Linked DNA regions of Rhinolophus ferrumequinum. The main gene of each other region encodes a partner of the protein of the gene in region 2 in a complex. Links are inferred from orthologs where the notes say so. Each region holds a gene or a part of one and is shown on either strand. Other genes may lie near its edges. The genes, in order: ANP32E, bromodomain-containing protein 8, ING3 and VPS72.

Region 1 (7,980 bases), on a different chromosome or scaffold from region 2:
GGGACCGGCCAGGTGGCTCAAGTGGTGGGAGCGCTGTGCTTCTCCTGCCGAGGTCTTGGGTTCGATTCCCACATGGGCCAGTGAGCTGCACCCTCTGGAGCTAAGCTGCCATGAGCTGGGCTGCCGTGGGCTACCGTGTGAGAAGCTGGTTACAACAACGGCTTTAATAGGAGTGGGGAGTGGGAGGCGGAGGGGGGTGGCGCAAGAAGGGGGGAAAAAGAAGACTCAAGAAAGAATCTGTGAACTTAAGATATATAAATAGGTCAATAGAAATTCTCACCTTGAGAAGGAAAATAAATAAACAAAAAACCAGAACATATAATAACTATAGTGCAGTATTGAAAGGTGTAATGTATATGTAATTTGAATAACAAAGGATAAGAAAGAAAATGTAACAGGAATATTTGAAGGATTAGTAGCTAAGAACTTTCCAAACATTAATTATATAAAGCAAACCAGGAACCTAGAAACACAGAGGACATCCAGCAAAGATAAATTCAACCCAACCAACTAACCAACCAACCAAAAACCACTTTGATACGCCATATTCAGACTATAGAAATCTGAACAACAACAACAAAACTTGAAGGAAGCCAGAAAAATCCTAGAATTCTATATTCAATGACAATTATCCTTCAGAAGTGAAAAGAAAATGGCTTCGTTGAAAATCAAAAATTGAAGGAATTCATTGTTAGTAAACCTGCCTTAACAGAAATAAATTCTTCAGACAGCTGTAAAATGATATAGACCAAAAACGTACAGGAGAAGGAATAAACGAAAGAACAAATAAGATGTGAGTAATCATGTATGGAAGCTTGTTGACTGGTAGACTGATGGTGAGGAGATGGCACAGATATCTGGCTACTTTCTACCATTTTGTGAGTATTTCTGGACTTGTCTCAGGCTGATCAGTTTCTTTAGAGAGGAAGCCTCTAACCTTTTACCTGAAGGCACACCCCACTTTAAGATGCATGGAGGAGACAATGGGGTTGGTTTGGGAGAGTTCTCATTGGTTGAAATACAGATTTTCAACTTTTCTGCCAGTTTTCATTACATCTAGCCTGGTACATGTAGGAATGATTTCTGGTGGTTCCAAATCATTTTGAATTCTGGAGAAAGTGTGTTGGCATTAGTTGCACTGCCATAGATTTGTCTTGAGACTGCAAATTAACTAGTTTGGAAAAGGGAAAGGTTAAAAAGTTAGGAGAAAGAACAGTCTGGAGTTATCCTTCACTCTCACTCCATCACCTGTTCCCCAAAAAGGCATCAACCAACCTCTATATTTCCTAATGGAAGTGTGGAATTAAACTGCCAACTGAGCGTTATTTGGTACATAATCAATTACTAAACATGAGTACCCACTGTGTGCTCAGCACTGTGCCAAGTACTGAGAGAAAACCAAGCTACGGACTTGGTTTCTCTCTAGGAAATTTCAGTGAGTTTGGGCGAACCAGAATTAAATGACATGTAGAAGATGTGGCTAGGCAGCTCAGGGCAAACGCTGGGTGAATAGAACATTTAATAAGTCTTACGAATTTGGAGAAGGTTAAATGGTTTTGGTTAAGGTAGAAGAACAGCATAAGCAACGCTAGAAAGAGCAGAATGCCTATGACTTGTATGGAACAAAATGGCTCTGGTGAGACTTGATCAGAAAAATTGTTCTAGGGACTTGTTCCAGTTACTATTGCTGCATAACAAACAACTCCAAATTTAGAGGCTCAAAACAGTAATGATCATTTTATTACCTCTCATGGTTTCTGTGAACAGAAATTTGGAAAGAGCTCAGCTGGGTGGTTCTGGCTCAGGATTTCTTATGTGGTTGCAATTAGACAGTGGCTGGAGCTGGAAAAGTAGGGGGAGGAGAAGCTGGGGGCTGGGTGGGTACCTCTCATTCTCTTCACAGAGGCTTCTCCCTGTGATCTCTCCTATACGTTAGTTTGGGCTTCCTCAGGGGGTAGATCTTTGGAGAGGGCCATTGTCTCATGTTGGGTTCCTCAGGAAGTAGACTCTGAGATGAAAATAGCATTCAGAACATTTATTGGGGGGATGATATTGGATTCAATATCTGTGGAAGAGAGGAGAAGAAAGCTGGATGAAGCAGTGGGAGAAAGTGAATGGCAATGCAGGCCCCTGGGGGTGCTCTGGAGCGCTGATGAATGACCCCTCAGAGTTAGTCTAAGTTGGGGCAAAGGGCTGGCCGGGCCTGTATATCTCTGTGTTGAAGGAGGTCTAACCCTGGGCAAGGCACTTTTCTTCAGCTGAGGTAACCCCCTACAAGGGCCGACAGCGGAAGGTCATCCCGGCACTGAGGGGAATCAGTTCTTCATTCCTGAAGGAAAATCTGGGTCGTGCATTTCCGTGTCCACCACAGCCCTGACTAGATCGGTGGCTTTCAGTAGAGGCCCTCCTGTAACAACCTGCCACTGAGAAAGTTGGGGGGTGAATACTCCAACCTCACTCCCCTTCAACCCCCCCCCCCCACCCGTCTCCTGCCAGCCCTCTCCCCCGCCCCCAAACCCAGCAAGTCATAGGACTCGGTGGGGTTTTGAGTCACAGAGTGAAGAGTGGATCTGGCGGGCAACAGAAGATATTCTGCAGCAGAAGATGAGTTTAGTTTTTGAAACTTAAAGACACATCGAGTTAAAGAATATCCTGGTGAACGCTTCTTATTGGTGGATCAAAGGCATGTTCTGAACCACCCTCTTACTCATTCCACTCCTTGCTCCTTTGCTTTCATACCACCTCCTGATTACTGAACCTCACTCTTGGTTCTAACATTTAAACCCTGCCTCATTACTTCCTTTTAAAACACGTTCTAGTTCATGAGTTCGGATTTTCTCCTGACTGCATTTCATTCTTTCATCCCTCATTTAGTTCCATATGTCCATGTACTAGCCTGGTAACGTTCTTCATCCAACCTCTTCTCAGTCCTATGGGGAATCTCTCCTCCCCCAGCATCTTGTTTATCCTGTCTTCTTGATTAAGATTGGAAACAGGTAAGTTCCAAGGTCTTGAGGTAATGCAGATGAGAGATGATATAAAGGCGGGGACACTAGGTACGGGGAGAAAGGCCCACTTTGGTAGACCTTTGTCTGTGCTTACTATGGTGTACTTTCGGAAGCTGCTAGCCAACGGTAAAACGAATTCATGGCCTTTCCTCACATTTAGTATTTCCAGCACCCTCTCCATTCTGTCTAATGTATTCCGATACAGAAGCCCTACCATTTAACCCCAATAATCACCTCTTGTTGAAACTCTGTCTTCCATACATTTTTCTCCCCAAATTCACCTCCTTATTTATTACCTGTTTCTTTGACTATTTTGGTAGACAATCCCTGTCTTCTCTTTTTCCCCTCAACCATGTTTTACTCTCTTTTGCCTGATAGTCTTATATACATGCTTTGTGGGCGTCTTATTTTTTTTCTCATGGCCTCAACTATCACTCGTATCTGGATGACTCCTAAGTCTGTATGTACTCCTTCCCAGAACTCTCTTTGGGATGCCATTCCAGAGTTCCAGACTCTGCAGTGGCGGTGGGATCAGAACACAGGACTTCTTCTCAAGCTGGTACTAAAATGGGCTTTCAGGTTTCTTTTTAGCCCTTTTTTTCCTTCCCTTGTTTTTCAACTCTTCCTTGAAATGTTCCTTAATCCATTTTGCTTTAGTTTTTATATCATCCTCACTTCCTTTAGCTTGATTAAAACTAACAAACTTAACTAACTCCAAATCGCCCCCTAGAGATGTTATTTCATTCCAAAAGCTTTCCCTCTCCCTGTTTTCCTCTTCACAAAATTTCCTTTCCAGGGAATTCAAAGGAAACAGCAAGGAGAAGGCAATGATTATTTTGTTTTCCTTTAAAGTAGTTAACATGCTAAATACTAAATATTTATATTTTAAGCATAATCCTATTTGAGGAGCTGTGTGTCTCTGTAGGGGGGCAGGAGGCGTGGTGGTGGAGTGGTTAGGAGTCTGTTGGTAAAACCTAAGGTCTCCAACCTGAGAAACTGGAAAAATAGCAAATACTCAGCTCTGAGAGGGGTTAGACTAATTCACCCACTTCCTTCCCCACATTATATGGACTGTCTTTGGGTATTTATCCTGATAATGGTGTAAGAGAATAAAAAGGACAGAATTTAATCAAGAGCTAAGAAAAGTTAGGCTCTCAAGACAAAAATTTTAAAAATGATTCTTACCCTGCTCTTTTCTATCCCACATTGACAGACTTTTAAAAGCACATTTTATCTGTAGACTTTCATGGAAACCAACCAAAGGGAAATTGGAGAGGTACTGCAGTACTATTTATATGCGAATCGATGTCTCATTTTCATTAGACCGGTACTGTTTTTCCTCCAAGGTCTTATTGTTCATTACAGCAACAACTACCTCAGTAACAATTTGTTTAAAGGTGCCTAACTTATACTTCACACAACTGCTTTCAGTCCTTCGTGGGTGGAAGTTAAAATACCGTCTTTATTTCGGCTTTGGTTTTGGACCAGAAGCCTGTCCCCAGCAGGGCAGTGTCACGAAGGCATGCTTTTTATATGACGTGCACGTTGCTGTGCACCTTGGCGGCAAAGCAGGAGCTGTGCGTGCTGAGTTACCAGTATCGCAACTTGGGCACGTAAGAAGTATGCTTTCTGCCTGTAACACTAAAAACAGAAAAACAAAACCAAACCCAAAAACAAATCAAACAGGCATCAAAACCGCCCTCGTGCCTAGGGAAAGCGCGCCAACCACACAAAGAAAAGGAGGGGGGCTACTGGGATTCAAAATCATTTCTTCCGGACGAACACCCTCCTGGACCTATCGGAGTTAACTGCGCGCTTGGTCGTAGCCAATAGACACAGCGTTTCTGGTTCAGGTCCGCCCTCAAGACTGATAGACATTTGTGTAGTCCAATGGAATAGTGTGATGCTGAAGAAGTAACCAATACATTCGGGAGGTGGGTGGAGTGTAGGCCAGGGGGTTGGCGGTGCCGTGTCATGGAGGCTCAGTCTCGGAGCAGCCATTGAAGGGGAAGGAACTGCGGGTGTGTGTGTGTGAGTGTGTGTGAGAGTGAGTGTGTGTGTGTGTGTGTGAGTGCGCGCGCGCGTGTGAGTGCGCGCACGAGTGTGTGGACAAGGAGGTGGGGGCAGCCGAGTTAGAGTCCCAACTCCTTGGACTCCATTTGCTATTCTCTTTCTCCCCCACACCTATCTGGTGGTGGTGGGCGTTTATATTTGCGTTTCTTTTCATTCATTTCCAAACCTTTTACAATTTGAGGGTTGGGGGTAGCAGGAAAGGCAGGGCAGGGTAAGGGAGGAGAGTAATAGCAGAAGAGCAGGAGGAGGACATGGAGATGAAGAAGAGGATTAACCTGGAGTTAAGGAACAGAGCCCCGGAGGAGGTGAGATGACTCAGCCCCCTCCCCTTCCCCTCCAGCTCTGTATTCGGGGAATCGGGTTTCGGGGGGTCCGGGTGGGTGTGTAGGGAGGGGTAATTTATCAACCCCAACGTGGGGTTAGGGTCGGGGGGAAATATTTAATTTGAAGTTTTAAATCATTAAAATCTTTTACTTAAAATGGCGAAGGGTTCAAGTTTCTAGGGGCGTTTTTGTGTGTGCATGGGGGCTTAGTCCCTTTCACCTCTCTTGGAGTCGGGCGTCTTGGCCTCGTGGGGGCGGGAAGCAGGGTGCTGGGGGGCCCTCCGCTCCCCAAGTTCCTCCTCCTGGGGGCGGGAGGCGTGGGCGCGACCCCCCAGTCCCACTCGCCCCTGCCGCAGCCATCGTTGCCTGAGAAGTTAGTCCAACTTTTCTTCAGTGCTGCTAACAACTTTTTTTTTTGGGGGGGCCGCCCCCGGCCTCAAGGCCCCTGGGCGTCGGGCGCGGGCTGGGGTCGCTCAGGGAGCCGGCGACCACCCGCTGCCGGCGGCGCCCACTCCCCCGGGAAGGGCGCGCGCCGACCGCCGCCAGGCGGAATCTGGGTCAGCGGCCGGCTGTCCGGCCGCGGGTAAGTTTTGGGACCCGTCGCAGTAATCGGAGGTGGGGAGGGGACTCGAGGCGTCATCCCCTTCGTCCCCCCGCGAGGTAACGAAATTCGGCGGGTCGTATCATGTCGTGGTGGCCGCAACTCCGAATTTGATCCCTGGAAACGGTTTCACAGAACTCAACAAATGGGTCGTGGTAGTTGTGTGCTTTAAAGATGGGTTCGGCGAAACTAAATGATGCGCGCTCGCTGCTGTCGCTTTAGTTAAAGAGACGGGGTTGGGAGGGGCCACGTGAGGCGGGGTCGCGGTCGACTTTTCGGGGGTCGGGCGGGAGGCGTTTCCGCCTCCTTTCTGAGGGCGCCTCCTCTGCTTCACCCAGCCCTTCCCGTCCCGGGCGGAGGCGCCTGGGGAACGGCGGCTGGAGGGCGACCCCTATTTTCCTTGGGGAGTCCCCGCCCCGTGTGGGGTTTCCCGTCGGTCAGAGCGGCAGGTCGCCAGAGTGGGGCCGGTGACCAGCGAGGAACCTCACACTTCTAATCGCAGAGGCGAGCGCCTAGAGTCTTGCTAATTGCGGCCTCTGAGTTAAACCCCAGAATTGGCATATCAGGGATATAATTGTTTTCGACTTGGGTGGAGGCGGTGCCTGTGCATAGCAGCATAGAGGATGAGAAGTAGGGTCTGCCCAGTGAGCCGAGTGGGAACCCAAGATCTTTATGTGCTTAAAAAAAAGTTTCCCAGAAATTGGCAGGAGCAGGCAGGAGGAAACAGTCGCTATCATACCAGAGAAAGCTTGAAGTTTTCTAGGCCCTACCCTTTAGGGGCTTCAGAAAGAACAAAACTGAAAAGGCTGTCTCTCAGAAGCACACATTTAGAATGCTTTTTTATGTCTTCGTTTGGAAAAGTGGATTCCCCCTGCCCCATTCTTTTACCCACCCCATCGTGGTATCTTCCTTGCCAGTTTTGGGGAGTGCCACGCGTTGCTTTTTTGCAGCCTCTCCTTCCTCCCCTGTGGTGTAATAACGGTCTCTTGTATTTGCATAGCTCTTTACAGTTTACAAAGAGCACTTTCCGTGTTTGTTATTCACTTTCCTCCTTGAGACAAACATGTAAGGTGGATTGTATTGTTCTAGAATCCAAATTAATGGAGTCTCAGGGCCTGCAGTTATTTACTCAAGTGGAAGAACTGGTTTTCTGACACCAAATCTAGTGGCCCTCTCGCCTTCACTCAGCTAGACCAGGAGTCAGAAGACTTAAAAGAGTGGAGGCCCAGCTCTGCCACATACTGTGTGACACCAGGCAAGTCATTCTCATCCTCTGGGCCTCGGCTTCCTCATCTCCAAACAGATCATGATGCCATCTGTGCTCATTGAAGTCATTATGTCAGTCATTTTCAAACAGAGAAGGTGGCATTCCTTGTTGCTAATTTTTAGCCCTGAAAATACTTCAAACATAGTTTTGCATTGGGAATGGAGAGTCAGGGTCTCCTGCCCCTCTCTCCCTTGCTTAAGTCCATTTAGGCCCACACCAGAAAGTTTTGTTTTACAACTCTGACCTAATAGAGAGGATCCAGCCCCTCCCCACCAAGAATGGGGTGAAGTCCACAAAAATGCTACCAGGATGGCAGGGAGAAACAATAACATTTTGTCAAGGATGTATTGTTCTGGGTGAACTGTTTGGCCTGATACTAGAAGAGTTAACATCTGAAAGCTGGGCTGTCTCAGAAGGAGCTTCTAACATTTCTTCACGAAGGGTAACAAGAAAATTTTGAGTTATGGGGGCATTTATCAACCAAAGATAAGGGGGTTTAAACTAAAACAGTTTCCTTTCTTCTCCCTACTGTTTCAGGAAAGCTCCCTTGCATCCTTTTCCAGGAGCCCAGGTACTAAATAGGCCCTGATGTTGAGAATCCTTCTCATCAGGGGCACATGGGACCTTTTTCAAAGTTGTATTTTTTATGCATCAGTGATTTGAAGCAGGCATTAAGCTTCTTAGTCCAAGTTTAAATTTAAAAGGTTA
Region 2 (7,669 bases):
GGTTCAGGTGGGTGCTGGCAAAGCTCTGGTTTTTACGACCCACTTTCAGGAGTTTCCAGGCCTCCTCAGCATTCTGAACATGAATCCAATTGAGATCTGAGACCAAGGAGAGAAGAACATACATAAGATGGGAGCACCTAACCTTTCCTGGTCTCCCAAAATCCCTTCCAGGGTTCATGGCCAGCCTCCCTGCTTTCCCATACCTTTCACGTAGGGATTGCCATTCTGATCCTCACATAGCCGCAGAGTTGCCTCTTGCGCTGCTGGCTAGGTGGTTCTAACAGGTCATAAAGCAGTTTCATTGTAGATCTCAAAGAAGGAAATCCAGATGGAAGAAGCGAATGTCTGCAGGGACACTTATGGGGCAGTGTCTGGCTGTGCCCATCGGTGACTTGTTTCTGGGGAAGAAGCAAATGTACAGGATAGAGTAGTCCACCTTCCCTTTGGCCTGCAGGGGCCTCCGCAGGCAGAGCTCAGGTTGCAACCTCTGACCTGTACCCCTGGCAGCTGTTGCGAGCAGGGAGTGGGTTTCTATTATTACTTGGCATAGAGCCCAGTCATGGTACGTACCATCTAGCTGGCTACTGCTGGTAAACTGACTGGAGGAGGAGAGCCCAGCAATGCCACTGTCAAAGCTGGTGCTAGTACCCGCCCGACTTTCAATGTAGACACTCCTCTTCAAGGAGGTAGACAGCTCCTCCTGAGGGGCCGAGGGAGAAAATAAGTACAAAACTTTCCAGAGACTTATCCCCCATCCCCTCATTTGTGGACACTAATACTTTACCTCTTGGAGGCTTCCATTTAGTAGGGCCAGTTTCTTTATTTCCTCTTGCCGGATCTGCTTGCTGTCAAGCCAGATTACCTCGTTGGAGAGCAAGGGCTTCAGATCAGGTATTGGATGAAGTTGGCCTTGGACACTATTGAAGATCAGAGCCAGGGACCGGGGCAGGATCCCTCCATCCTTGGCAGTACCTGGAAGCATGTGAAAGATGGATAGCTGAGGTAAGTGCCTTTCTCCCTCAGCTGGCAGCACCAGAAAGCAAAGACAATACAGTGGTACCTCGGTTTTCGAACATAATCCATTTCAAAGACTATTCGAGTTCTGAAACGTTCGAAAACCAAGGCATGGGTTCCCCATAGAAAATAATGCAAAATGGATTAATCCATTCCAGACCTTTAAAATCAACCCCTAAAACTGCAAATTAAGCATGAATTTTACTATCTAATGATACCATAAGTGCATAAAATTTACGGCGTTCGTAAACCGAAATGTTCGTCAATGGAGACGTTCGAACCGAGGTACCACTGTATCATTACAGGTCAATCAGCAATCCTGGAGGACCTATTACTCACCTTGAATAGTGTGGGTTTTCCCTGAGTTGGTGACTCCGTATGTGTAGATAAGCCAGTTCTGCCCTTTGAGTACGTCCTTTACCATCTCCTTCACAGTCATGTTGAAGAAGGATGATTGTCCGACTTCTGGCCCAAAGATCTAGAGACAGACCCAATTTCTCAGAGGCCCATCCTTCATCTCCCACTTGCCTCCTGTGCAGAGCTAGCAGATGCATCTCTTCCTAGGTGGTTGGCTCTGGACAATACTCAAGCAGCTTCATCCTGCAGAGCTGCCAGCTGCTCCCTAAGCACTGAGGACTCAACCAGTCCATTTTCATCTAAATTAACAAATACTTAAGAAGTGCTCTCAACTAAGTCCAATGCTACACAAAAAATGGGCAACATAATAGTCACAAGCATGGGATTTGGAGATAGATGGATCTATTAGGTTGGTGCAAAAGTAATTGCGGTTTAAAAGGTTAAAAATAATTGCAAAAACTGCAATTACTTTTGCACCAACCTAATAGAGTCAAGTCTTTACTACTGACTAGCTACATGGCTTTAGCAACATTACCTTCACTGAGCCACAGTATCCTTGTTAGGAAAATCGGGACAATAATGAAAATAATAGAGTTGTGACTTAATGCACATAAAGTACTTGTCACACTGACTAGCTTATAACAAGGGTCCCCCAATATATAGACATGCACATATAAGGAGTTAACAATCAAATAAAAACTTCCCTTCTAAAGGGAATAAAGCTGCCCTACATGTTGGTCCCTTGTCCACAACCAGTACCTCCATACCTGGGAGAAGGTGAACTTGTGGGTGGCTTGGCCAATTCCCGCTCATTGCTCTTCTGGGCAAAGGAGTCTTTGGGTGCCTGTAGAACAAGGGTCTCCACATTCTCAATACGGACACAACCCTGAGAAGGGGGAGAAAACAGTTGACACAGAAGGAAACATTCCTGGAAACCTTCTGTACTGCATCATTCAGCTTGAATCCTCCTCCTCAGACACTCACCTGATCCTCTTGCCGTTCTAATTCTGAAGGTAACAAGGGCCTGACCCTCAGGTATACTTTCACCTTCTCCGTATCCTCAGATGGAACCTATGCAGAATTCCAGGGCGGAACTACTAGATTAATCTCAGCAGTTATCTCTGAGCAGATGGGCAAGCATAAGCAGTTCCTAAGAATCATGCTAACGCTACCCTCATTCCACCTCAAATGTCTCCGCAGCAGCTACACTTTTGTTCCATAATCATTCCAACTCACATGGACTTTTTCACTACTTTATCACCTTCCTGTCTCTTCAGTATCCTGCAAAACCTTGGCTTGCCACATCATCTGAGTTAGAAATGGTTGACTGGGATGAAAATCAGCATATGATATTCCAGTAGTTAAGCACCATGGAGGCAGGACACACTTGAATTGAGTCCAAATCCCATCATTTAGTAACTATGAGAAACTTGAACAAGTTCTTTGAATTCTTTGCCTTACTTTCCTCATCTGTAGATGGGCTTAATAACAGCACCCACCTCATTCTTTCAACAGATACTTAGAGATCTGCCTACTATGGCCCAGGAACTCTAAGAGGCTCTGGTAGTCCACAGTGAGGGACACTATCAAGGCTTCTGCTCTCATGAAACTTTCTCTATAAAAGAGGAGCTTTCCGAAGTAGAGTTGTTCTCAAATCAAGGCCATTTCCCTCCCAAGGAATATTTAGCAATGTCAGGACAGGTTTCTTGGTTGTTACAAAAGGGAAGGTGCTGACATTTAGGGGTAGAGGCCAGGAGTGCTGCTAAACATCTTACAATGCACAGGACAGATCCCTATAACAAATAATTATCTGGTCCCAAGTGTCAATAATGAGAAACCCCAGCCTAGCAGAAAGACTCCACAAATAGAAGCTACAGTTGATACTAAAGCCTGACTGTACATTCCACCTACTTAATGGAAGTATGATCTGGTGTCTGGGCCTCGTGGTGAAGGAGAAATAACCATCATCCTTCCCTCGTAGGATTAACTGATAATATGCACTTGAGTGATTTCATTAATGCAATGCAAACAACAGTTCTTATAGACAACAATTCTACATTTTTTACTTGTCATGCTCTTAATTTTGAATTGATCTCTTAGACCCTTTAGTAGCTAGTGACCTTATACTACTTTCAGTATAGACAACTAGTAGGCTGAGGATATCACTTTTTGCCCCCAAGCCACTCTCCAACTCCTTTACCTGCTGCTTGTCCTCCAGGGAGGTGGAGATGACAGAGCAGTCTGACAGCAGGTTCTTGCGTACCACAGATCCCAAATCTGCAGCTGTAGACTCAAACATGGGGGAGACTACGACCTCCTCATCCGACAGCAAGCCCGCTGGCGGAGAAAGGATCCCTTGCGACATGACAGCAGGGGGAGCTTAGGTCTAAAAAGAGACAAGAGTGGGTAGGGAGGAGGACCTTAAGGGACAGAGAGGCTGAAAATTCTAGGTAAGAAACAATTCCCTTGCCCCAGAACACTTTGGTTTCTGCCTGAATCCCTACTTCCTCTCCCTTCAACTACCAGAGGGGAAGGGGATAAGAGAAGGAGTTAGTCATTTAATCCAGTCTGAGGTGGCATTTCGACCTCTAACAGGAATGAACAGATACGGCTCTAAAAGCAGGTCATGTTCCAAGTAGGGTTGCCTCGCCTACCCGTGTTGTGGAGGTGGTGTCAGTAGCCCTAGGCTCCTTCTCCAGCCTCGCCCCAGGCCCACAGTGAGGACAGAGGTATTAAGAAAAAAGGAATGGCGGCAGCTCGGCTTTCTGAAAGCCTATTCAATGAGGGCAAGAATTAATACCCCAGCTGGGCTCCAGCACAGTCGCACACTCACCTGAAGACGAGACACTTATTCCTCCTTTGGTACCAGCCCACTCACACACCGACGCGGAACCCGGGTTTTGGCGGTAGGAGAGCACAACTTCCCCCACGAAGTGTACCTTTGTTACTGATACAATGTTTTAAATTACGCGCTGCGTTCGTTCCGCCAATCAGACAGCGAAGACTGCAGTTACCAATCAGCACAAGGAAAGGGGGCAGGCGAGACTGGAAGAAACTTTATTCCGGTTTGACCTCTCAACTCTAAAGTGGGTCCGGGTTACCAACTGTTGGAGTTTGGGGTTGGGGCACTTGGAATTCCCGCTTAACACTTTTTCTTGAACCGTAGGCATTTCTTTGCTAAAAACCCTAAAGGAAGTCCTGAGGCTTCAGCCGCCATCCTCTGTCCTTCTTTAGCACATTCCTTCCCAGGAGCGCAAAAGAGAATTGGTTTACGGGGCTTGTTTTACTTGGGGTGGAGGGTGGGGACTACATTTCCCAGGAAGCAGCGCAAGCAAACGCCCGGACTCTATTGCCCAGAGTCCTCCGGGTTTCCGCCTTACCAGGCCGTCTTTCCTCGAGGGTTGGAGACTTCGAGGCCAAGATGGCGGCAGGAACGGGCAGTAAGTATCTGCGCTGCTTTTGCGTGGAAGGCCTTTGTAGAGCCGAGGCCAGGCATTAGATTTCTGTCACACGCTTAGGGAGTAGGAGAAATGATTTGCCAGAGAGCCCATGGTCTTCAGCGACCTGCGCTCGTCGGCGTTGTGAAGGCCAATGTTTGGGGGCGTCCGGAACTGTAGGGTTTTGTTTCTCAGGGAGGCCGCGGAGATTTGAGAGAAGCAGCTCAGCGAATCCTTGTATGTTTGGGAGCGGTATGGGGTGAGCGACAAAGGTGCTCTGGAAGACTCGGGCGTGCAGACGAAGACGTGTTGTGAGCCGTACGGAGCGGCCCACATATCCGAGAGCCATTCATATTCTGACCAACGTTTGTGAGGCCTGTACCCTGTCTCCCACAGAAATGGGATATTTTAACCAAGAGCCCTTTCTGCCACTGGGGAAATTGCGTTTCTTGCATCTCAGCCATTTTCCTCGGTTTCATGGATTGAAAATGTCTTTTAGGCCCGACGACTAAAGTGGGGGTGGGGGGTGGTGAATTGCTGAAACAAGTAAACAAGTTTATGCTAAGAAGGAGGCGGGGCAGTAGGGCAGTGGCCGCTGGGAATCATGGGGAAAAAACCCTTGCGTTCAAATGGGGATAAAGTATGTGCGTATTCTTAAAACTGGACCATTGGGAAGTACAGCTTTATTTTAAATCTGACATCTGAGGTGAAAAATCAAGATTTGATGATAGTAGCTCACTTTGTCCGTACGAATTGGGATGTTTTGTATTAGGTGTTTAGGTCTCCCTTTGGGGCTTAGAACTAGTGTCTCAGTGGTTGCCTTTAAGCCCTCTCTCCTTTCAGAACACAAGCTGCTGAGTACTGGCCCCACAGAACCATGGTCCATCCGAGAGAAGCTGTGTTTAGCGTCTTCTGTCATGAGGAGTGGAGATCAAAATTGGTAATGTATCTAGGATGCCTGATTTCTTGGGTCTTTGAAACTGTTGGGGTTTTTTTATAATAGTGGAAGCTTATGGTTAATCATACTACCTTTAGGCACTACTACTTTTAACAGCTTTATTGAGATATAATTCACAGACTATAAAATTAGCCCAGTAGATTCGCAGAATTTAGTATATTCACAGAGTTGTGCAACCATCAGTCACTCTACAATCTCCTCTCCACCTTGCTTAATCACTCATCTACTTTCTCTTTCTAGATTGCCTATTCTGGACATTTTATATAAATGAAATCTTGATAAGTACATAACTGTATGGGTGTGCTGCGTTTTGTTTATCCATTCATCAGTTGATGAACATTTGGGTTGTTTCCACTTTGTTGACTATTATAATTAATCCTGCTATGAACATTTATGTATGAGGTTTTGTGCTGACATGTTTTCTAGTCTCTGAATTAAAAGAGTGGAATTGCTGGGTCATATGGTAAGTCTGTGTTTAACTTTTTGAGGAACTGCAAAAAGTGGCCCCACAATTTTACAATCCCACCAGCAATGAATGAGGGCCCAATTTCTCTGTATGTTAAACAACATGATTGTCTTTTTGATTATAGCCATACTAGTGGATATGAAATATATCATTGTGGTTTTGATGTGCATTTTCCTCACGACTAATGTTGTTGAGCATCTTTTCATGTATTTTTTAGTCATTTGTGTATCTACTTTGGAGAAAGGTCTGCTCAGATCCTTTGGATTACTTATTTTTATTACTTAGTTTTCAGAATTCTTTATATATTATCTGACATACATCCCTTGTCAGATAATTTGAAAATATTTCTCCTGTTTTGTGTGTCTTTTCACATTCTTGATTGGTATCGTTGAGAGCACAGAAGTTTTTAATTTTGACTTGTCCAATTTTTTCTTTTTGCTTGTGCTTTGGTGTCATAGCTAAGAAACAATTTATTTTTATGTTTTCTAAGAGCTTTATAGTTTGAGCTCTACACATTTAGATCTTTGATCCATTTTGAGGTAATTTTGTGTATATTCCAAAGCAGGGGTCTCTTTTGCGTGTAGATATCCACTGTCCCAGTACCCAGTATTTGTTGAAAAGACTATTCTTTGCCTATTGAATTGTCTTGACACTCCAATATTTATTTTTTTTAACTTTTATTTATTTAAGTGTGGTTTTCCAGGACCCATCACTTCCAAGTCAAGTAGTCGTTTCAATCTAGTTGTGGAGGGTGCAGCTCACAGTGGCCCATGCGGGGATCGAACTAGCAACCCTGGTGTTACGAGGATCGCGCTCTACCCAGCTGAGCTAACCGGCTGCCCCCCAATATTTCTTTTTAAGTACCAGATATTTCTTTTTAAGTACCAGATAGTAAGTTTCCAATCTTTTTTGCTATCAGGACATATATTCTTTTTCATTTTTAACATTTTTCTCTCCCCCCCACCCCTCTTCTAAGGATCTAAGGACACTTTTTAATTGTTTTAAGCCTTATAATTACTTAATGTACACATTGCTTTTATATGGTGTATCTCTACTTCTTTAACCATTCAGATGAGTTTCCAAATCACCATTACTGGTCACAGTTAGCATTTCTGCGACTTTACATATGTACGAAATAACTTTTCAAAGATGAAACCAGGATATTCTAGATAGCAGCTGTTCTTGAGTCAAAATAAATGGTAAACCCCAAGAAAAAATGAATCACACTAATTTGATAAATCTCAGATTGTACTTAAATATATCAACTCAAATACAGAGGATATTAAAAAAAATGTATACACATTTTAGGAAAGAAAGAAATTTGTTAAAATTGTAATATTCAATATATACTGATAAAAGATGAATACAAGTCATGTGTATACGTTTTTTGGGCACCCCCCCATTATAAACTGAACTCTTTTAAACAAACCAACCAGG
Region 3 (7,153 bases), on a different chromosome or scaffold from region 2:
AATATACATGCTTTGACTTGGCGAAAGAAACAATTATCTGATAACATACACTCTTTCACTTGGTCACTAACTTAAATATGTCATGCTTTAATTATGCAAATATACAATGCCTTAATTACCTTCATAAAAAAATAGTTACAATTTTCCCTATAGAACATTTATTTTTGTTGTTATTTCAAAACTTTTTCCAATAGTCAAAGTAGATTCTGAATAGTACAACCTCAGGGTCAAAAACTAATGGTATTAAATCAGCCAAATGTGCCAAACACAATTTCTTACTGAAAGCACCGCTAGACAATTGGCACATTTCTTTTAATAAGAAAAAGTGATAAAAAGATTTTTAACCTCTTGCTATATGGCCTTAAACACCTCCATAATCTCATATCATGTTGAAAGTAGTAGCTACAATCATTTATTTACTTAATACACTATATTATTTATTCTATATAGATTTTCCTTAAATGTGTGCCAAGAATAGTCATCTCATTCCATGTATGCTAAAAAAGGAAAAATAAAATGAATTCTGTTGTTACATAAATTGAGGAAAAGCTTTCTGTTATATCCTTCTCTTGGAGATTTTCAGTTAGTAATAGGTCTTTAAAGATTCTGAGAAGTCTTATGGTTAATATTTTAAAAGTATTTTCCTTTGTTTAAATAAGCATTCCTAACTTACTTGACACAGAGATCTTTTGTTAATACATAATACCTATTAAATTTAGAAAATTCTAATTACTATTAAAAAAATACAAGTTTAAAAAACCTCTAATTTACATAATCTAAGTCCAAAACGCAAGAAAATTTAAAATTTGTAATAATGAAAAGGGATAAAAAAAGTAACCCTTTATTGAATGCCTATTTTGTACCAGGTACTAATTTATCTGTATTATTTTTAATCCTCAGATGATTCTCATTTTACAGATGATGAAAACCCCTCAGAAGTGGTGATGTAAGGTCTGTAAGTCAGTAGAGCCCTGAAATGCACTCAGATCTGACTGACATTAACAATCTGTGCTCAAACCTGTAGATAACACTACTACTTTAGCAAATCTTTAGCATTTCAACTACCTTCAAGTTAAAATGAACTTGGAGAGCAAGCTGGAGAAACACCCAATTCAGACTCCCACACTGCGATCCACTGAATAAAAGAAGGTGGCTCTCAATATTATATTACATTGTATTATGTGCTACATGAAACTGACAAGAATCTGGGAAAGTATATTCACATACAAAGGTATGGATGTGTGTGGGGAAGGCAGTGAAGCAAGGGGGAGAAAACAACAAGCTCTTAGCTAGGTCAAGACTCCCACATTCTGGAATGTTTGGTTCTCTGATCTCTTTTCATGATACTCCTTTCCTCCCTATCACACTCCAAAACCCAGATATTCCTCCACCCCTGCTTCTCTAAGAAGAAAACCTGACAGCATGAGAAACATTTTATGTATAGCTTAAACATAGCTGGAATAAATGGGATCAAGAAACATATCTCCTGTGGATATACCCCACGAAGGCCAGTCATTATTATTATTTAAATAATTTAATTAAGATACCTACATTTCTTCAAGGGAGTGACACACAGCCAAAAAAGTACCCTTGATTATATATTTTAATTATGTAAAATTCATTTCACATTCTTAATTTTAAATATCTGTACAAGGTAGTTGAAATAAATTATATTCACACCACAAAGGCAGAAGGTTTACGAGTGAGGTTTTTTTCAAAACATGAACACAAATCTGGTACTCCTCAGTGTTTCCTTGTTTTAAGTATAAGTTTACTCTAAGTATTTACCTTCTTGTCTCCAAATGCTCTGATTCCATACATTCTCTGAATCATAAACCCTTTTCAGAAACTTCACAGAAGAAAATGATCATATAAACCAAATACTGCTCTACAAAAAGTCAAGTGAGTTCTGGGAAAAAGTCAAGCTATCACTGACAGAAGAAAAGCCAGAATTTTTATTACAGCAGACAGGAAGCTTTACAGTAAAATCCTATTTCCTGCACTCATTTTGAATGACAAAAATATCATACTGTTGACAACAGAGAGTGTATCCTACAATGTATCCGAACTCTTCAAATTTGACACTCCAGGGTCTAAAAAAAGGCATGTAACCAGTGTTTCGATGTTTTCTGCTCTTGAAAATGTTTCAACAGAATGAACTGTAAAAGTGCAAATGCTAAAATCTATGTTCTCTACATAAAGGTTCAAAGCCAGAATTTCAACATTTATGCTGCTGTGCATTAAAACATGTATCTACATTCTCCATGAAGGTATCGGAACGTGTATGGCCCGTTCCCAAATTCGAGAAAAGAACACACGTGCTCTCATGTCTCCCCCTTGTAAAAGCCAGGAGAAAAGTAGCCTGGGAGGCAAGAGGCGGCAAGATTCCAAACTGCAAGTTCCTTTTGACAACTCCTATGTACTCCCAGCCAGTGAGCTGCAGGAGAGTCAACAGCTGAGGGGCTGCAGTCGAAGGCAAGTCAGTCTGACACTGACGCGCGCAGCAAACCAGGGTAAACGCGCCGACTTACTCTGCACCTGCAGGTCCATCTCGCGCATCTCAGTGAAGCGGTCCCGCAGGTCCATTGGAAGCTGCTCAATCACTGCCAAAGGGAGAATCCGTCAGAGGGGCGAGGCCAACGGCGAAAGTACGCGCCTACGTCACTGCGTGCGTGCGTGCGTCGGGGGGGGTCGAGGGAGCCGGCAGCCCACAGCGAGGCTGCCAGTTACCGTGAGAAAGAAACATCCCCCGCCTCCCCCTCCCTCCCGCCATCCCGCCCGTCCACTCGCGCTCTCGCCCGCCCGCAGGTCCCACAGACGGCCCCCGCCAGCGCCGCCCACTCACTTTCCAGATAGTCCTCTAGGTACAACATCGCGGCCTTTAGAGCTGGGGGAACGAGGGGGTCCAGGGGTTTATTTGTGTCACTCGCTGTCGCCGGAGTTTTGTCCCTTCCAATATGGCGCCTCCGCTAGCAGCGCCCGCTCGGCTTCGGCAGGGAAAAAAAAAAAAAGAAAAGAGAAAAAAACCACTTTGGCGCCTGACGGCGCTTGCCTCACTGCCGCCCGGAGCTGTCATTGGTTGGCTGAAGCAATGACGTCAGCCTACCGTAGCCCGCCCCCGCGCTGTTGTGGGAACTGTAGTTCTATTCCCTCCCTAGCAAAAGTGAACACGCTGTCAGTTCTTCACATGGAAACTACAAAAACCAGACGCCACAGCGAACGGTGCGTAACGGAATCTGAAATGCGGTGCCTCTGTTTATTTGTTGATTTTTGCACGGGGCATGACGGGAGTTGTATGCGCCTGCGTAACACAACTAGGAACAACTTTTCACCTGTTCTTTACTGCTGTGATTCCATGCCCCGGCATTTGAGTCTGGATTTCAAGTAGTGCTAGCAAAATAGCAAAGGTTCTAGCGCTAGAATATTCAGCAAAGTTCGGGCAATTTGTACTGTTTCAAACAGAACTCGCTGCTAGAATTTATCCTCACTATCCAATCCTAAAAATACAAGTGGGACGCCTGGTTGGCTTCCACGTAACAATTTATTTTAAGCATGGAGTGAATATGTATTTCCCATATTAAAATATGCAAAAATAGTCCTCAATAGCCTCATATTCTATGTTGCGGTCCGTCTCGTCACGCTAATGGAATGAATCTATACGTACAACCTGCACCCGCAAAACAACAAATACCGAGCAAGCAGAAATAACGGATAGAGCCTTAATAGTGAATGGGCTGTGCTAGCAATAACTTTAGATTATGTTGAGTAAATAGCCTTTGTTAGACGTCTGTAGTCCTGTGCGTTGTCTTTTTCTACCTTTTGACTCCTCCCCGCGAATGTTCACCCGTGACATAGTCCTTCACTGCTTAGTTTTTCTCTGTCTTAACTACGTTGACACTCAGTACAGGTTGGGTGTTATTTTCCACTTAACTCTCTTCGGGTTTCGGGGATACTTGTCTTTAGTTCATAATTTAATGTTCTATTTATATTTTTCATTGGAGTTGAAACACTGCATTTGTGTTACCTGCTTCACCCCGCCTTTACATTTTCTTGTTCTCAAGACTTTTTCACCGCTCTTAATCAGGATACTTACCTGTCATATTAATGAACCCCAGAGAAAACTTAACCCTAATAACGATGACATCATTTAGTTTCTATACTTTTATCTAAAATCAGTGCCTTAAGTTTTCCTCCCACCCTCCCTCTCCTTCCTTCTGGCTGCTTTTAAGATCTCTGATATTGTCGCAGTTTCACAATGATCAATACAGATATGATTCCTTCCTTCCTCCTTCTCTCCCTCCTTTCCTCCAGCCCTCCCTCCCCCTCTCTTTTTCTTTCCTTTTTTTTTTAAAACCATACTGAGTATTTGAGAAGATTCCTGAATCTCAGTATTAGTGTCCTGCAACAATTGTAGAAAATTCTCAACCGTTGTATCTATAGGATACCTCTAAGATAGAGAGCCTCTGTTTCTCTTAAACTTTTTTCTATATGGTCCACCTGGAAGTCTTCAAACACTTCATTTTTAGAAGTTCTTTTTGGTTCTCTTTCTGAGTCATTTTCTAATTTCTTATACAAATTAAGCATAATCTATATTCTGTGTCTGTGAAATTCAATGCTGAGAATTTTATGGGTCTTTTGTGCTGCCTGCTGTTTCTTCAAGCTTTTGCTTATGGTGCCTGTTTCGGTGCAGGTTGTGATTTTGGACTCTGCATGCATGTTTCTGGGCTGGTAACTATGGGGATTCATTGAGGCCCGAGTAAAAAGGGAGTTTTCCTAAAGAGTATTAAAATTTGCTTCAGCAAGTTGCCTGGAGACACCATAAACCCTAGAACCAGATGAAGTTCTCCACTTCCGGTTTATTGGATTGCACAAATAGATTGAATTTGGGTCTCAAATCTGAACAGATTTTATAGATTCTCGGGAGACTTCTTCCTTTCCCAAGTTCCAAGGTCAAGATGGGCGTGTTTCCTTACTGACCATCAGGTTTCTTTCTCAATCACTCTTACACTGGGAATGTAATCCTTTGGGCCCCAGAGTTTTGTCTCTTATTAGACTCCTCCTTTTTCATGGGTCCTTGGCTTTATTTCCTGACCCTGGCATCTGCACAGCTATTAAAGCAGGAATTCAAGGTGCCCAGAATTTGACTGATAATCTCGTGGCAAAAGTCACATTGACCCTCCCTCATTTCTCAGGATTTTCTTCTCATTTTTATTCCTTCTTTTTTGATTTTCCCCCTCTGAGCATTCCTTCATTTCCTATCAGTTCATCAATGTATTTGATTTTTTTTTAACCCAGCATTTTTTGTTTTCAGCAGGTGGCTCAATCAGAGTAGCTAACATGCAATTCTGTCAGAAATAAAAGAAATGGAAGTCCATCCTTTCAGTGTAAACTGAGCTGCTTCAGGGAGTTTTTCATACTAAGGAAAATGAGATAATAGATGGTTCCCAATTCAGTGAACATGCATACACACTGTAGAGAAACTAAACAAATAACAAAACTAAACACTACATATTTTAGTTAATGTAATTCTTATTCTTGGACCCTGTATCAGCTGCAGAAAATTGTGTATGTACACACGTGTGATAGCTTCTTACATCATTAGGTCAGATAGTAGATAGCACTTGGAGTGTCTACTTACTTAACACCCACTACTGCCTTTCTGGGCCAGGCCCCTCATATACAGGAGTGACCATATCTGTTACATTACTGTGCTCCCTGATCATAATGCATTAATTTAACAGGGACAGATCAAAGCTGGGCATACTAGATGCACTCTCTTTTGATCTGAAACTGGAATGTGGAGACGTGGAGACTGACGGCGCTGTGGCAGAACTGCATTCATTGCAGCACAATACATCGTGTGGTCCACAGGCTGCTGTGCTGAGATCTACCAGAGCAGCTCTAGGTTTTCTTCCTTGGATTTTTTCCCCTTTCTCTGTCACCTTCTCTAACATTAGTTGTATCACCTCCAGAAAGTTATTTTCACACTCTTGGCCTCCATTTCCTGATCTGTAAGCTGGAAATAGCAATAGTAGCTAAATCATAGGTGTGTTAGATTGAAATGATATCATCTATGCAGAGCACTTAGGTTCAAGTATGGTGAGTGTCACGACACAATAAATGTCAGCTTCTAGTACCATCCTCATTAATGCCATGAAGTCCCCTCCTCAGTTACCCATATTCAAATGCTCCTTCGTGCTGCTCTGAGCTTTGCCTTGTGCCCCTGGTCATTCTGAGGCTGGACTCCTCCTAGACCCACTGAAGATTATCTCACGTACAACAGTTGTATCGCCACTGTCATACTCCATTCAACGGAGAAATGATCCAGGGAGGCTCCGTAAGAGTACTGCACTGAGGGCTACTGGCTAAGGAGGAGGAATCAGAATGTAGGGAACAGATGCAAAACGTGGATGCAAAATATGAGTGTTACTAAGAGTCCAAGAGAAAGGAAAATTGAAATCCTTCATATAGCATCTCCTCAGGGGAAACCTTGGCTTTACGTCTTAAGGTTCTGCCACTTTCCTATTGAAAATATTCAAAACTTTGAATATTCTCGTAAAACTTTGAAATGAAATATGTTCTTAACTTTGTGCCAGGCAGTGTATCCTCTCTGACAGACCTCTAAAACATGGGAAGAAAGAAAAAATGCGGTCTTTACATGAACCGCTCTAATTTTACATTTTAAAAGTCCATTGAGTCACTCACTGGATCAGTTATAAGCAGCAGGATAACAGCCTTCACTTTACATATCTATGAATGTTCCAGGCTTTTCTACTCCTCATACCCACTAAAGAGACGTCTCTAAGGAAGGCTGTACTTTGCAGACCTGGCTCCTGGGTGTTTGTGACAAAGAATATGGAGAAGAGGACAAAGGGAAAGAAGACAAGTGACTAAGGGGTGGAGAGTTAAGGAGATTTTACAGAGGCGGTTGTTATATAGGGTTTAGTGGGTGGCATATTGAGAAAGGATGGATAACTGGATATGAAGCCATCACAAAATCTTTCCTTCAAAATAAATGGAAATTCTGGAAGACATATAAGAAAAAAGCTTGAAACCAAGAGAAAAATATCCCAGGTGCCAGAAATAAACAGTAAACTCCACGTTGGAGCTAAAAGAACCAGAGTGTTTATAGGCCTTTACTGTTGAGTCTTGG
Region 4 (6,836 bases), on a different chromosome or scaffold from region 2:
ATCAGAACAGGTAATGAGCCAGATCTGTCCAGTGGTGTGTCGTTTGCTGAACCCTGCATTAGAGTGTCAAGAATGAAGAGAGCTTGGGCCATGTTGTAAAATACTGGTAGTATTTAGACAGGCAAGAGGGAAGAGGGAACCGTGGGCAGATGGAATAGCGGCAACAAAGCAGGACTGTGGATGGCACGTTCACGGAATAAGCATTTAGACCCAAGTAAAGCAGCTTTATCTCTGGCAAGGAGTCTCCCTAGCTGACTGCCTTTGGCTTCAACACAGCCTCCTCTCAACATTAATAGATTGTCCTATAGGTCTGTAAGATTTGAAAGGAAGGTTGCACTCAATCTATAGAGAAACTTAAATGTCAGGCTAAGAAACATGATTTTAACTTGCAGGCCGGTGCTTCTCAATCCTCTCCCTCTCCTTACTTGTCCCAGCGTTGATAATCACTGTTGAAGCAAACTAAAGTCACTGACAAATATGTCTCATCACTGAGATACAGGTCTCATTCCTCAGGTGTGTTGGGACAAAAAAACAACAGTTGGGTACTACTACGATGTATAGTGGGGAACCACTGAAGATTTGAGGGCAGAGGGAAACTGTGGGTGCGGCGTGTTGTAGAAAGCTCTGGAGGTGATTAAATGGGCTGGAGTAGAGAACATGGAGTACAGCCTAGACTTGCGGTGATGCAGATTAGGGCTAGATGGCAGCCACGTTGGAAAGGAAAGCACAAGAAAACAGTGGGGGCAGGCAAGTCGACTGGGTGGGGCGGCACCTCAAACACGTGGCTCTCTCTTCAAACAGTGATGCAGGCTAATGGGCTAATCTTTGCACACACGCTGCCAAACCAAGCAAATAAGAGACAGCTGACACTCCAAGCCAGCCGGAGTTCTATCTTGCACGGATGACCATCATTTCCTCCCAAGTGATGTCTGGGGAACAGCCTGGGAACACGCTAATCCCCTCAGCTCTAACCTGGTATTAAGTCATCTCACCACAGTCTAGGAGGTCAACTACACATTAGCTTAGGGCCTAATGGAAATGCTTTCACTCGGTTACGGATTTACTACCGTTCCTTTGGCTTTCATCGAGGGTCATTAATAGACATGACTAGGTAAGACAATGTTTTTACATCACCTACCAAACCCGTTACTCTATACGTCTTATATAAGGATGCGATTCTCCCTAGGATTGAATGCTGAATAAATCTGTGTCTCTTAAAGAACTTATATGCTTCTTTCTTACTAAAAAAGAAATTCAGGGTTTGACTGCCAGGAAACTCACAGCTAAATTTAATATCAATTGCTAGGACCATTTCAGCAAAGGCTCCTGGTACAATTACTTCTGATGTGTCTCTATTTTTGCTGTTCCTACTTTTTGTTTATATCGTAAGCCTCCTTAAATCCTTTTTGGAAGCATGATGGGTACATATTAAATAACGACTCGTAAAATGACAGGAATAGGAAAATGGCTTTTGGAAGAGGGATGAGAAAGTTCTATTTTAAACTAGCTGGTTAGGGCTATGTACGTAATGACTCTCCATCAGTCACCAAGTCCTGTGGATTCTGTTGCCTTGATTTCTCTTGAACCCTCCTGTCCATGGGTCTCTGCTCACACTGCCTCTTTCAAACCATTCTCCTCATCACAGAGCAAGCTTCTAAAGTACCAATCTGATCATCTTCTCAGTCCTCTGATGAAGAGCAAAATTCCTTAACAGTCACAAGGCCCTACACAATTTGGCCTATGCCTCACCCTCCATTCTTGCCAATTTTATTCTCCTTCATGGTCTGGAGAATCAGAGTAGATGTGTAGGTTCCAGGCCAGTGCCACAAACATGTAACTCCCTGGACTAACCTTTCTCCTCCGGGCTCCCAGGCCTACTGCTCTTCCTCCAGCCACGGCCTACTTGTCACACTGTCCTCAGCTTAAACATCATGTCCCGCAGAGATACCCATCTCGACCAACAACTCTGGCTCACATGTGTTACCATGGCACCTTATGCTTCCCTTATCACACACTATTTTAACTGACTGTTAACCCAGCGAGGTCGCCCACTGGGGTCTGGAATACAGAAGGACAAAACCGTGTTTTTAATAGTTCCCAGAGGGTTTACCACAGCTGTAGGTACTCAGCACATATTTAAAGGACGGATAGGTTCAATCAATACAGATCTCACGAGTGCCAAGCCAATCCGGACACTGGGCCAGGCACTGGGTTGCATACTGTTGAACAAAACAGACTATCTCTAACCTCACAGCACTTACAAACTAATAGGAAAGTATAAACAAGCTAAGCAAACCTAATTACAAAGAGAAATACGTTCCATGAAGGAAATAAATGAGGACACTTTTTAGGGCAGTCAAGGAAGGATTATCTTAGGAGACGTTTACACTGAGGTTTGAAAGCTGGAAAAGGAATAGGCTAAGCCTACTTTGGGGGGAAGCTTCTTTCTATACTTCAGATGCAAAATCAGCAGTGGGCCGACGAGGATATACCGCATGTCTACGAAGTGCCTGTCGCGTGCCAGACAGCAGAAGCGCGCTGAGAGATGCCACTAGAGGAATAGGAACACAGTGGGTTTCTGCCATACTCCGGGGTGCCCCAGAGAGCTCCTCTCTTCCTGCCCCGTCTAGGACTCCTATGCATCCCCCCGACTCGCCCACTCCGTCTCGAGTATCAACTGACAAGGCTCCGGTCTATTCCCCGCCCCCTTCTTTGTCCGAGGTTTCTCCCTTCAAGACTCCTCTTAGCTTTCTTCCCTCCCTCTTCCTGGGCCCAGCTCTTGCCTCCGTGAAACCCCCATAAGTCGTCTGGTAGAACTCATCTTCCTCCTCTGCCTCCAGGAGCCCAGAAAGCCGGTTCCCCGCGGTCTTCCGAGGGGCCCGGCCCCCAGCCAAACTCATAACGCCTACCGAGACTGCGCCGCCACCAGCGGCCCCTCACCCAGCGCGGTTCTCGGGGCTCGGCGCTCGACACCACTACCTGCGGGGGGCAGGCGGCGGCGGCGGAAATCGGTCGTCTGCAGGCAGAAGCAGCAGAGCGTCGAGGGGCTCCTAGTCCCGCCCCCTAGGCCAGCCCCGCCCACTCCTGCTCATACACCGCCCCCAAGCTCCCTGACCTGCGCGCAGACCTTGCCTATGGAATGATTCGACTCGGTGACACCAAGAGCCCCACTACTCTAAGTCCAAATTTGGGAGTCAACAAATTTTCATTTAGAAGAGGTCAGTCTCATTCTGCTCCAGTCCGTTTTCCACTCTGCTAGTAGGAACCTTTCTAAAAACCGAGATTTTGTCACTCTTCTGCTCAAACGTCTTTAATGGACGTTATATACAGGATAAAGTCCTTAAGGCGGAATAGTAGTGTGGTTAAAGGTAGAGCCTTAGAATCAGCCGGACCTGAGTATGAGTTTGAACTTAGGTCTTCTAGCTGTGTGACTTTGGACAAGTTGCTTTATCCCTCTGAATGTCAGTTTTTTCATCTGTAAAGTAGGACTAGTAATAATAACACCTACTTTGGAATGTTGTTAAGAAGATTAAGAGATATAATCCTTTTAAACTGCTTGGCACTGTATTTAGTGAGCTCATAGGTGTTTAGTAGGTGATAACTATGGCAAATATGGCATTTAAGAGCCTTCATAATTTGTTAATAGCATCTTCCTGCCTTTCTAGCCTCATCTCCTGACACATCATCCTATTCTAGCTTCACTTCCCTAACACCCAATTCTCTGCCATGTCTCCTGCTTTTCCTTCTTCTTAGAATCCCTTTCTTTTCCTGTCTATCTGGCAAAATTCTAATTGTACAGACCAGTGAAGTCTTCTTGCACACTCATTCCTTTTCCTAGAACAGTTCTCATAATCATGGAGATCATACCTCCTTGATTCTCTAGAATAGTTCCAATCTCAAAGAGTCTGTGGTATTGTCTAAGCCTCTGTATCAACTTCTCTTCCCATTTTTTTATTCTGAAAGTATGGTTGTCAAACCATAGCACATGCACACACTCCAAGACGGCACCTATTACATTTTATTCTAATGATTTATGTTTCTGTCTCTCTCATTAGTCTATGATCTTTTTGAGGGTAGGGACTTTATCTTCATCTGTGTATGCCAGGAAACTCTCATAGTGGGACTAAATAATTTTAACGAATGAATTAATGAAGGGCTGTTTGAATAAATTAGGTAACCATCCTCTTATTTTGCCTCTGTGTTGATCTTGGCAGCCCCTAGCCCATCCATTCTGACCTTAGGAACTGTTCAAAGATATGAAGGTCACTTTAATAAAGCTGGTGTGTGAGTGTGTGTGTGTGCTCTATTTCCTTCAAATCTGTATTCGTAGCCATATTTTGAGATCACGAAATTGTCCCCCTTTTCCAAAGTATATATTGGTGAACTCCCTTTTCCGTTTCCTTGGAGGCAGCAAGCCAACATGTCCTGCTCTGCCCCTCCTTCCACACCCTGCCACATCATTGAAGACCTGCTATGCCCGGAATGTTACTGGGCAGAGTGGCTCCATGACTCAGAGCATCCTGGGGATTGAGTGGGAGTGGGGGCAGAGACAAGGTTTGGGGAGAAAAGATGGGAGACACCCCTAGCCCAACTTTAAATGTTGCCTTCATTCATTCATATAGTCAAGAGACATGTGTTGGGCACCTACTCTGTGCCAGGCACTACTCTAGATCCTTGAGATATAAAAATAGATAAGATGTAGTCTTTGCCCTGAAATGTTCACAGTGTTATGAGGGAAACCAACAAGTTAACAGACTGACATAATACAAGGTGGTAGAAGTAACAGTAGCCATTTTCTGGTATAGAAAGGAGAAACAAAGACCCCTAAGAAGCTGCAAAATAAGGATGGATCTCTTTTTTCCGGAAGGCTGAAATAAATTTCATAGATCCAATCCCAGGGAGAAAACCCCATTTGACCTCCTGGTAAGTCAATTATTTGACTATTTCCAATTTAAAAATCAGAAACAGCTTTATCTCTACACCGGCTGATTTCTAAAATAACTCCAGAAATGATAGCAACTCCATGCCTTTTATGGAAACAAGGATAATTTATTCAACAAATATTTATTGAATGCCTATTAGCCAAATCGTATGCTAGATGGTGTGCCCACACCTGTCTATTTTTTGTACTGTTTAATTGGGTGGGGGGTATAGATGTAGGCAATCATAAAATACTTCAACACTACACAATTCCTCTGCTTTGGAATTACAAATGGCAATCCAATCATCTCAGTACCCAAAGGAGAATGAATAATCCAGCAGGTGGCAGCAGGGAAACAATTATTTTACATCTTGACGCTGGAGGGGTAGAAGGTAGAAAGGTCAATGCCTGGGGATAGTCTCTGCCTGGTCAGGTCCTAGGTTCCCTTTTGAAGACCCAGAATATATCCGGATAGAGGATAAACCAGGCCATCTTAGGGTCTACCAAACCTAGGATTTTTTTTCCATTTTCCTTCATTTATTCATTCCACAATAATGAAAGAGCCCCTACTATATGTACAGAGCCACATCAAGAGAGGAGCTGAAGATACAAGGGTAAATCAAACTGGTTGCTCTCCAGCAGTTTAATCTCTTCAGAGAGACACAGTCAGGTCTTCAATCTCCAACCGAGTTCACATCCTCCAGGGCACTTTGTTAAAACTGAGTAGGTACGAAGACTAAAATGGGGATATGCTCTGTGTATCTTCCATCCCTTTTGGAGCACAGATAAACGAGAGTTAGAGGCCAAGGGCTCAGAGCACGGGAAGATTGTGATATGGTTTGATCACTTTCCTTTTTGACAGGTCATCATTTATCATATTTACTGAACTCTGTCACTGTGCCCAGCATTGCGTTTGAGGCCAACGAAGTGTAAGATCTGTTTCGAAAGTCATTCAGAGGAAGGCAGGACACGACATGCACGCACGTTAAACTAAATAGTAAACAAAGCAGTAAAGCTGAAAGAATGCTTGGTGGCATGTGATATTTTGCGATAGTCGACTGCTTAACCTCTCCGACTTGCCCCTGGCGCTTCTATCGGGAGTTCTTCCCTGGGCTGTGAAATTGACAGGGCCCGCCAAGCCGACTCTCATCCCTATCTCAGGCGACGCAACCCAGTCCTTTCAAAGAGCCGAATGGAAATGGACCCACCGAGCCACCGTCGGGGCAGTCTGCGCCCCGGGGCGCGCACGTCTTCAATCCTTGGATTCGTTAGGGCCCGAGGGACCTGCGTCACGTAACTAGTCGCGGCCTCCGGATTGGCTGTGACCCTCTCGGGTCCTCCCTCCCCCCCCACTGAGTGGGCTGGAACGCTGGGAAGGCTGGGCGCATGCGCAGTGCCTGGATTTCACTGGCCGCCCGGAGCGGTGGAGTTGGGCGATAAACAGGCTGTGTGACTAGGGAGGAGGGGGAAGGGGCGCTCGCTCCGCGGGGACTTCTCACGCCCCCTTATTCCTTTACGTGTGATTTGGTCGGGACGTGTGGTCCCGGCCGCCGGCTTGAGCCTACTCTCTTGTGAAAGGGTAAAGTAGCTCTGGCGGAAAGCGGTTCAAGTTGCCGAGAGGGTGCGAGACGCGGGTCGTCCCCCATGCCCGCGGAATGGTGTGTCCCTGAGCTGGTCCAGGAGCCGGCCCGACGTGTCTGAGAGAGGCCCGGGAGGGGGCGGGAGGGGGCCCGCAGAACGCGGGTTCTGTGAAGAGACGTGGGGAAGATTCGACTCCGAGAAGAGGAAGAACCGGATTGAAGGGGAGCGAGGCCGTGAGGGGGAGGGGGCTGCCAAGATGGCGTCGGCCTCCTCTGGGCCGTCGTCGGGCGGGTTTTCGTCGGTGGATTCCGGGGTTCCTGGCTGCACCTCGTCC

Evidence for each region.
Region 1: bromodomain-containing protein 8 (region 2) and ANP32E share a complex: the UniProt entries of both Homo sapiens proteins name them as parts of the SWR1-like complex. The link is inferred for Rhinolophus ferrumequinum from reciprocal best matches to the Homo sapiens genes BRD8 and ANP32E.
Region 3: bromodomain-containing protein 8 (region 2) and ING3 share a complex: the UniProt entries of both Homo sapiens proteins name them as parts of the SWR1-like complex. The link is inferred for Rhinolophus ferrumequinum from reciprocal best matches to the Homo sapiens genes BRD8 and ING3.
Region 4: bromodomain-containing protein 8 (region 2) and VPS72 share a complex: the UniProt entries of both Homo sapiens proteins name them as parts of the nuA4-related complex. The link is inferred for Rhinolophus ferrumequinum from reciprocal best matches to the Homo sapiens genes BRD8 and VPS72.

The regions. Positions count from the first base shown.
Region 1 is NC_046305.1:50,609,261-50,617,240, reverse strand, and holds the start of ANP32E (acidic leucine-rich nuclear phosphoprotein 32 family member E), read left to right. Parts: upstream 1-4,967; 5' UTR 4,968-5,332; coding exon 5,333-5,386; intron 5,387-7,116; exon of another isoform or gene 7,117-7,260; intron 7,261-7,980. UniProt on the Homo sapiens protein: Histone chaperone that specifically mediates the genome-wide removal of histone H2A.Z/H2AZ1 from the nucleosome: removes H2A.Z/H2AZ1 from its normal sites of deposition, especially from enhancer and insulator regions.
Region 2 is NC_046307.1:13,324,644-13,332,312, reverse strand, and holds the start of bromodomain-containing protein 8, read left to right. Parts: upstream 1-4,662; 5' UTR 4,663-4,792; coding exon 4,793-4,811; intron 4,812-5,651; coding exon 5,652-5,748; intron 5,749-7,669. UniProt on the Homo sapiens protein: May act as a coactivator during transcriptional activation by hormone-activated nuclear receptors (NR). Isoform 2 stimulates transcriptional activation by AR/DHTR, ESR1/NR3A1, RXRA/NR2B1 and THRB/ERBA2.
Region 3 is NC_046309.1:22,924,840-22,931,992, forward strand, and holds the start of ING3 (inhibitor of growth protein 3), read right to left. Parts: upstream 3,012-7,153; 5' UTR 2,874-3,011; coding exon 2,846-2,873; intron 2,604-2,845; coding exon 2,532-2,603; intron 1-2,531. UniProt on the Homo sapiens protein: Component of the NuA4 histone acetyltransferase (HAT) complex which is involved in transcriptional activation of select genes principally by acetylation of nucleosomal histones H4 and H2A.
Region 4 is NC_046305.1:51,233,142-51,239,977, forward strand, and holds the start of VPS72 (vacuolar protein sorting-associated protein 72 homolog), read right to left. Parts: upstream 3,001-6,836; 5' UTR 2,901-3,000; coding exon 2,784-2,900; intron 1-2,783. Other genes in the region: PIP5K1A (phosphatidylinositol 4-phosphate 5-kinase type-1 alpha), read left to right, coding at 6,759-6,836. UniProt on the Homo sapiens protein: Deposition-and-exchange histone chaperone specific for H2AZ1, specifically chaperones H2AZ1 and deposits it into nucleosomes.